Sus scrofa: one gene and its partner. The protein of the gene in region 2 interacts with the protein of the main gene of each other region in a pairwise test. Links are inferred from orthologs where the notes say so. Each region holds a gene or a part of one and is shown on either strand. Other genes may lie near its edges.

What was found.
Region 1: the proteins of CASP10 (region 2) and RIOK3 interact in binary tests that used the Homo sapiens proteins (3 or more experiments, as listed by UniProt). The link is inferred for Sus scrofa from reciprocal best matches to the Homo sapiens genes CASP10 and RIOK3.

The regions. Positions count from the first base shown.
Region 1 is NC_010448.4:108,337,672-108,342,024, reverse strand, and holds the start of RIOK3 (serine/threonine-protein kinase RIO3), read right to left. Parts: upstream 3,040-4,353; 5' UTR 2,862-3,039; coding exon 2,799-2,861; intron 1-2,798.
Region 2 is NC_010457.5:104,867,993-104,871,811, reverse strand, and holds part of CASP10 (caspase-10), read right to left. Parts: intron 2,449-3,819; coding exon 2,313-2,448; intron 1-2,312. UniProt on the Homo sapiens protein: Involved in the activation cascade of caspases responsible for apoptosis execution. Recruited to both Fas- and TNFR-1 receptors in a FADD dependent manner. May participate in the granzyme B apoptotic pathways.

The DNA of each region.
Region 1 (4,353 bases), on a different chromosome or scaffold from region 2:
ATATAACATTTAGTCATCATGTCTCCTTAGGCTCCTCTTGGCTGTGAATTTCTCAGATTTTCCTTTATCAACCCTGACAGTCTTAAAGAGTAACACTAATTCATTTGCTACAGCTTCTTCCAAAAGAGCTACACACTTCCTCATTTGTGCCTCCATTTGAAAATACGCCCTTCCTGGAATATTCCCTAAAATTCTTTTGTCCATAATGGCAGTTTGGAATTTTATAACTGGGGACCCCAAGTCCTTTTTAGGGTGTCTAAGAAGTCAAAATCACTTTCAGAATAGTTCTAAGATATTCTTCATCTTTTTCACTCTCGTTCTCTCAAGAGTATGGAGTTTTTCAGAGTCTCCATCAGATACGACGGCAGCCCTGTGGTGGCTACTAGAATGTGTGTATGTGTATTCTTATGTTTTCCAAAATTTTCAAAGGCCATAGGTTTAGGATATAAATGTGCATTTTTAGAGATTAACTCAGTTTGTTCTTAGTGTGTCTACCATGCTCTTATTCCCCATCTTCGATTACTTCAACTAATTTGACTTCTGTTGTACTGCAACAGACTGAAGAAAAAAAGAGCTATGAGAATCCAGCTGTCTTCTATTAAATCAGACCTTAAAGAGACTTGCAAAAACACAAGACACTAATTGTTTTGGAAAATAGCTTTTTTATAAAGTATAAAAATGTTATCTATATTAATATAATGACTTACATCACATAGTAAATATTTTCAATATCTCAGCTTTAATTTCTGATATGACAAATATCAATAGATTTAATCAACATAAAAAAAAAAAATCTTGGATTCCTCAATGGTTATTAAGAGTGAAAAGAAGTCCTGATGGAAAAGTTCTGAGAATTGCTGGCCTTTAACACTCCTTCATTTTCTAAGACGTTCCTCAAATCTCTACCTCCTCTACATATGCATCTATAATTACTTCAGTTTTCTAAGAAGTCAGAGAAGGAAAAGAGTAAGCGATACTTGTGGTGTTTTGCCTATGAAGATGCTGTCTTCCCAACAGAAGAGCAATAAATCCCAGGATGATTTTCACTGAAAGGTGAAAATGAAATTTTATAGTTCATATGATGTACACTTAAATGAAAATATCACTGATATCAAATATTTTATTACTAAATTAATTTTGTAAGGGAACTTTTACAGAAATTAGGCATTCTGAGCAAAGTTCATCTCACTTGACATTTGTACAAGCTTTACAGATGCTTAATTGAGGAATTTAATAAAGCACTGATTTCATCCTTTTATGTCTACTGATCTTGCCCCGGTAAACAAGGCCATAGTAGAAAAAAACACACAAAGTAACACATAAATGTACCCACATTTGTCACCAGAATATCTTAGAATCTCCCTAGGGTTGTAGGAGAACTTTCATAAAAATTTCCTTTACTGAACAGCTAATTTCCCCCCTCCCACTTTCTCTTAAGACCTAGTCCGAAGATCTAATAAGATTAACGAGTGACCCTTTAAAGAGAACAAATGTTCTGTGTTAGCATGTAAAGAAGTGAGTGAAATGGGTAAAAGTGGTCAATAGGTAGAAACTTTCAGTTACAAAATAGTCATGGGAGTGATGTACAGCATGGTGACTGTAATTAACTAACACTGTATCATATATTTGAAAGTTGGTGAGAGTAAACCTTTTTTTTTTGTCGGGCCGCTGCCGCGGCATATGGAGGTTCCCAGGCTAGAGATCTAATCGGAGCTGTAGCCACCGGCCTACGCCAGAGCCACAGCAACGCAGGATCCGAGCCGCGTCTGCAGCCTGCTCACCACAGCCCACCGCAACGCCGGATCCCCAACCCACTGAGCAAGGGCAGGGATCAAACCCACAACCTCATGGTTCCTAGTCGGATTCGTTAACCACTGCGCCACAACGGGAACTCCGTAAGAGTAAATCTTAAAAGTTCTTAACACGCACAAATTGAAACCCTGTATGTTGACTTATTGTGGTGAGCATTTTGCAATATATACATATATAAAATCATTATGCTGTACGCCTTAAACTAATATGTGGTTATACGTCCATTATTTTTAAAGGAACAACTATGAAGCTAAAAAGTTAGTTTCCTTCAGAATCTCTTTTGAGGAACACAAAATCTCAATTGAAGCACTTCAGCTTCCAAGCAAATCCTCTGAAAAGTGGCAATCTTTTCACCCTTGTAATGAAAGTATCCTGAAAAGCAGCAGCCTGAAACCAGTAATGTGAAATAAACATTTCAGTTGGCCATTACAGGAAAAGGCTTAAACGTTAAAGCCCAGGCAGATGTTAGAAATAACAGTCTTACAGTAGCAAAACACTTGATTAACCTAAAGAAGAGGGAGGGTGCGCCTGGATTGATCTCTTACTGCCTCAAAAACAAGAAACTGTCCAAACAGGATTACCACACTTGCCAAGCTAAGGAAACAGCTTCCTAAACCACCTTTCAGTTGGGCTTTCTGTGTATAATTGGGCTGACTCACTTGGCCCAAGAAAAACAAGTTCGTACTTGCTTTCCCTCACACGTCAGCGTCTCTAAGCGAGTCCTGCCCAAATATATGCTACAGAGGCTCAAAAATCAAGGTGCCGAACTAAAGAGAGACTCCAAACCTCCCAGGGTGGCCCTTGGCAGCCTGCGCCCCGTCCCTGCTCTTCCACTCCCACCCCCCTTTCCGAGGTGGCCCCGGTCCTGCCCAGAACTTTCCGAGTCGCCTGTGGGGCCGCCCCGGCGCCTGCCACCCTCTCCGGGCCCTCCGAGAGGACCAGCCCAGGTGACTAGGGCAGGCACGTCAGCCACGACCGCCCCTCACCTTGTTGGGTCCCCAGGCCGCTGCGGGCCCGGGCTCAGGGGATGCAACTCCGACCAGATCCATGTGAGGGAAGAAGACAGCGACGGAAACAGAGCAGAGAGGTGGCAGGACAGGGAAGCAGCTTCCGTCGAGGAGAGAGGCGGTGGGGCAGGGGCGACGGGCTGCTGACGCCGGAGCTGAGGTGACAGATGGCGGCGGCGGCCGCCGCGTCCGGAACTAGACCTCTTCTCTTCCGCCCTTTTCGCTGGAACGCTCGCTTCCGATTGGCCGCCGCCCGCGGCTCCGCCTTAGGTCACCTTTCCCCGCCCCCGGCGGGCCGCACTTCCAGTTGCTGCTCCCAACCGGGAGGTGGTGGTCACTGTCTTGGTTGCCCCGCGGAGCGGTGTCGGGCGTGGCTTCCTCTGGGCAGTCCATCCTGTGTCCTGGCTCGCCGAGGGGGCTTCTGGGTCTCATTAAACAAGATTTGGACTGTATGGACTATAAATAAACAAGCAAGCCAGCTCTCCATTCATTCATCATTTATTTCCCCCTGACTTTTTTTTTTTTTTTTTTTTTTTTTTTTTTTTGTCTTTTGTCTTTATAGGTCCCCACCTGAGGCATATGGATGTTCCCAGTCTAGGAGTCTAATCTGAGCTGTAGCTGCCGGCCTACGCCACAGCCACGCCAGATCGAAGCTGTATCTGCGACCTACACCACAGCTGAGGGTGTCTCCGGATCCCGAACCACTGAGCGAGACCATGGATCCAACCCGCAACCTCACGGTTCCTAGTCGGATTCGTGTCCGCGGTGCCACCAGAGGAACTCCTCCCGGGTGACCGCTAAACTGGGATGGTGTGGGAGACCTAGAATGGCAGGTTTAGAGATGGGAAACTGAAGAGGTCCGATTTTGTTTTTATTGTTGTCGGTAGGAGGCGGGGCGTGGCATGTCAAGTTTTGTAGTGTGTTGTGTAACATTGAAAAAAAATAGGACTACATAGAAGTTTTGAGTTGACATTTTGTAGCGAGATTTTCATAACATGGCAGGATAAAAGTAGCCAAACATTATTACATTTATTTCTTTTTTTTTTTTTTTTTTTTTGTCTTTTTGCCTTTTCTTGGGCCGCTCCCGCGGCATATGGAGTTTCCCAGGCTAGGGGTCTAATCGGAGCTGTAGCCACCCGCCTACGCCAGAGCCACAGCAACGTGGGATCCGAGCCGCGTCAGCAACCTACACCACAGCTCACGGCAACGCCGGATCCTTAACCCACTGAGCAAGGCCAGGAACCGAACCCACAACCTCATGGTTCCTAGTCAGATTCGTTAACCACTGCGCCACGACGGGAACTCCTGTGTCTCATTTATTATATCCAGGCAGTGCTCAAAGTACTGCAATAACACTTCTCAAAATAATTCTGAGAGATAAATTAAATCATTATCTCTGTTTTACTGATGATGAAACAGACACAAGAGAGGTAAAGTAACTTGCCCGGTGGTCTGTGGATGAAAATAATCAATAATCAACCTATAATAGTAGTACAAAAGAGATTTATTTGAGCCAAACCGAGGACTCTAGCAC
Region 2 (3,819 bases):
CTTTTCCTGGCACACAGCTCCTAAAACCGTAGAATCTCTGAAGCAATGAGTGTCTTTTTTAGGCTAAAGAGCTGACTTAGGGTGGGGGGCAGCTCCTGGACAGCCGCGGGTGGGGGGCTGGTTGCCAGGGGACCCAACTTTCAGTCCTCCTCCCAGAACTCTGGAAAGGGGCGGGGCCAGGAGGTTGAATTCATCTTAATGGTCAGTGATTTCATCAATCGTGCCTATTTAACAAATAAAAAAAACCCTAATGGAAGGGATTCGAGAGCTTCTGGGTGGGTGAGCAAATGGAGATGCTGGGAGGGTGACCTGCCTGGAGGAGGCGTGGCTCCTTCCCCAGGCGGTGCCTGATGCATCTTTCCACAGGGCTGTTCCTGAGTTGTATCCTGTTATAATAAATCCGTCTATAATAGTTTTATATATTTTATATATACGTACATCATCTTATAATTATATAAGGTATAATGTACAATATATGATTATATATTTTGTATATATTATATATAACATTAATATTTTTATAATAAACCAGTCGTGTCCTTTTATAATAAACCAATGACCCAAAGTGAACACTTTTTCTAAGTTCTGTGAGCTGTTCTAGCAAATTATCAAAGCTGAGGTGGGCAGCCTGAGAACCCCTGGTTTGTAGCCACGTTGAGCCGAAGCTGTGGGGAATCCGGGGACTGTGACTGGCTTCTGAAATGGGGGTGGGGGCAGTCTTGGGGGACAGAGCCCTTAACTTGTGGCAACTGCAAGAACTCTGGTGCGTGTCAGAACCAAATTAAAACATAGGACACCCAGCTGTGTCCACAGAGAGCTGGAGAATTGCTTGGGGTAGAAAAACTCACATCTGGGGTCAGAAGGGTTCCAGAAGGGTTGGTGGGAGCAGCAATAAAGGAAAATAAAATTTTTTCTTTCAACAGCCGAAAGAGATTACACCGCATGTAGCGTACAGAAAAAAAAAATCAAAAGTAGAATTCCTCTTCTGATATAAAGCTCAGTTTGCAAGATTCACTGAAGCGAGTGTAAGCATTTGCTACATAGAGAATTTTCTCCAGAGTTCAAATATTCAAAATAATCTGCCCAACTGCCCTTTGCTCACTTTGTGTGGAGGATTACGTTACAGCAAAATGATAATGTGATCAGGAAGAAAAAAAAAAAAATCTCAGTGTTCAGAGTTCAGGTTGGAGTTTCAAAATATACTTTCCATATTTCCTGCTTTTTATTTCTCACTTGATAACTTGGTCCGTAGAAGAGCTGTTTTCATTCTTCATAACTTTTACCTAAGCTATCTATACCTTATGCTTGGGTTATTGTTTGACATTTTATCAAATTAACAGCAGTCTATTTTTGCTCCTCGACATGTTTTGTGTTAACAGTATTCTTAGAGAGAAGCTTCCTTTTTGGCTAGTTGCGTTTTCAACCAGATAAATGTGCACATTACACTGCGTCTCTGAACTAAAATATGGGTGTAGCATAAAATCTTCATGAACACATCCAGGAGTGTCTGCTTTTAGCTTGTTTAAGGGTGACGACATGGACTCAAAAACACCAATATTTATCAGCATATGGCCACATGCGGAGGCAGCCAAGTTTGAGGTCTGTCGTGTATGGCTTTTATATAATACCACAGCACCACCACACTTACAGGACAGACTAAAAGCAAAACCAGAAAGAAAATTCTTCTCTAAGAGTAATTTCTGAGAGTATGAGTGTTTTTACGACTTTCCTCTCACAGCAATGTGTATTGAAGGCTGACTCTGTGCCAGACAGACATTTTACAGGAATTACCTCATTCAACCCTCAAAAAATTATGAAATAGATACTATTATTATCTCCACTTGACGGATGGGAAAAGTGAGACATAGAGCAGCTGAGGAAAGGGCCATGGGACCATTAGTAAGTGGAGTCCTAGGCAATCTGACTTCATGGACCCCACAGACCCCACTCTTCATCCCCACACCATCCTGCCTCCTTCTTTTTTATGTTATCGCCTGCAAAACAACTTTTTTCGCTCTCACGTTCATATAAAAATCAGAAGACATGTGTCTCAAACCACTTCTCCCCACCCACCCCAGCATAAAAGCTCCAAGAGGGTAGGAGCTCTGCTCTATACCTTACTGTATCTCCAACCTCTAAAATTATGCCTGGTACAAAGCATGCATTCGATAAACATGCGTGGAATGAAAAATTGGGGAGATTTTGGGTTTTCCCAAGAGAATGTTCTCCGACTGATGAGCAAACATCATACACAGCCAACTGGTTTAAGAATCCCCACAGGCTGATGCAAGCAAGCAAGCCAAGCTAGTTACCTTTCTCTCTTTTATATTTTTCTATCTTTCTCATAAGGTTAGGTGCAATTTTTTTGCAGACATCCTCCAGTAACGTCAGATTATCTTCATCTATTTGATCTTGTTTCTCCAGATATGACAGCAAACTTAGAGAGGTCTGTAAGAGAATCAGTGAAGTCACATTTCCTTGCCTCCTGATTATCCATTCGTTAAGAAACATTACCTGTGTGGCCACTAGGCACCAGGTTTTGCATAAAGTGGAGCGTCTATCCAAGAGGACATCAGTGGTATGGAGGAAGAGGCATTACCAAGTAAATCTCTATACAGTCTATATTAATACCAGATGCCAAATACACGTAACTCACTAACTACCAGGAGGTGCTTGCCGTGTATTAAAACCCAATGAGGGAGTTCCCGTCATGGCTCAGTGGTTAACGAATCCGACTAGGAACCCTGAGATTGCAGGTTCGATCCCTAGCCTCGCTCAGTGGATTAAGGATCAGCATTGCCGTGAGCTGTGGTGTAGGTTGCAGACACGGCTCGGATCCTGCATTGCTGTGGCTCAGGCGTAGGCCGGCAGCTACAGCTCCAATTAGACCCCTAGCCTGGGAACCTCCATATGCCGCAGGTGTGGCCCCAGAAAAAGACAAAAATAAAAATAAAAAATAAAACCCAATGAGGTAGACATTATGATAATCCCCATTTTGAAGATACAATAACTAGGCACAGAGAAGTTCCGCAACTTGTCCAGGGCCAATACGTGGCAGAGCTGGTATTTATTTGAACACTGGCAGACTGATGCCAAAGTCCATCTCATTAACCATTGAGCACACTGCCTCTCATTCCCAGCCATAAATGAGAGGCTGGCAGCAAAACAGGGCCACCAAAGAACTGAGAAGAAAAACGTTTCGAGAGAATTTTGTATTCGGCATTTTAAAAGAAAAAAATATTACTCAAGCACTCCTGGGGAAAATTGCAAAAGGGCTAGGATTATTTTAATTTTGAAGTACAAATGGTGTGGAAGGCACCACAATCTTTTCAGCAATAAGGGCTTCTCGATTGATATATTAATCTGGTTATGAAAAGCATATGAATAACACTGGGTTAGAGCCCACAGCAAAGAATCGGAAAGCGAACATCTTAACACAATCAAACTGCACATGCAATAAATATCAGCAGGGTGGGAACAAGGGGCAGGAGCACGTTGAGTGGTTGAAAGGGACAGGAATATTAAGGAATATTGAGAAGGAGGCCAGAGGACAAACTGAGTGAAAGCCAGGTCACAGCTGGAATGATAGGCTGGTATCAGACCATCAAGGAACACCAAAGGGCTTGGGCAAGTGTCCCATGGATGAAGGGGTGCCAGGAGGAATTTTTAAGGAAAACAATGACATGAACAGATTTGGGGTATTTTTGTTTTTGTTTTTAGGGCTGCACCTGAGGGATATGGACATTTCCAGGCTAGGGGTTGAATCGGAGCTGCAGCTACTGGCCTACACCACAGCCACAGCCAAGCCATGTCTGCGTC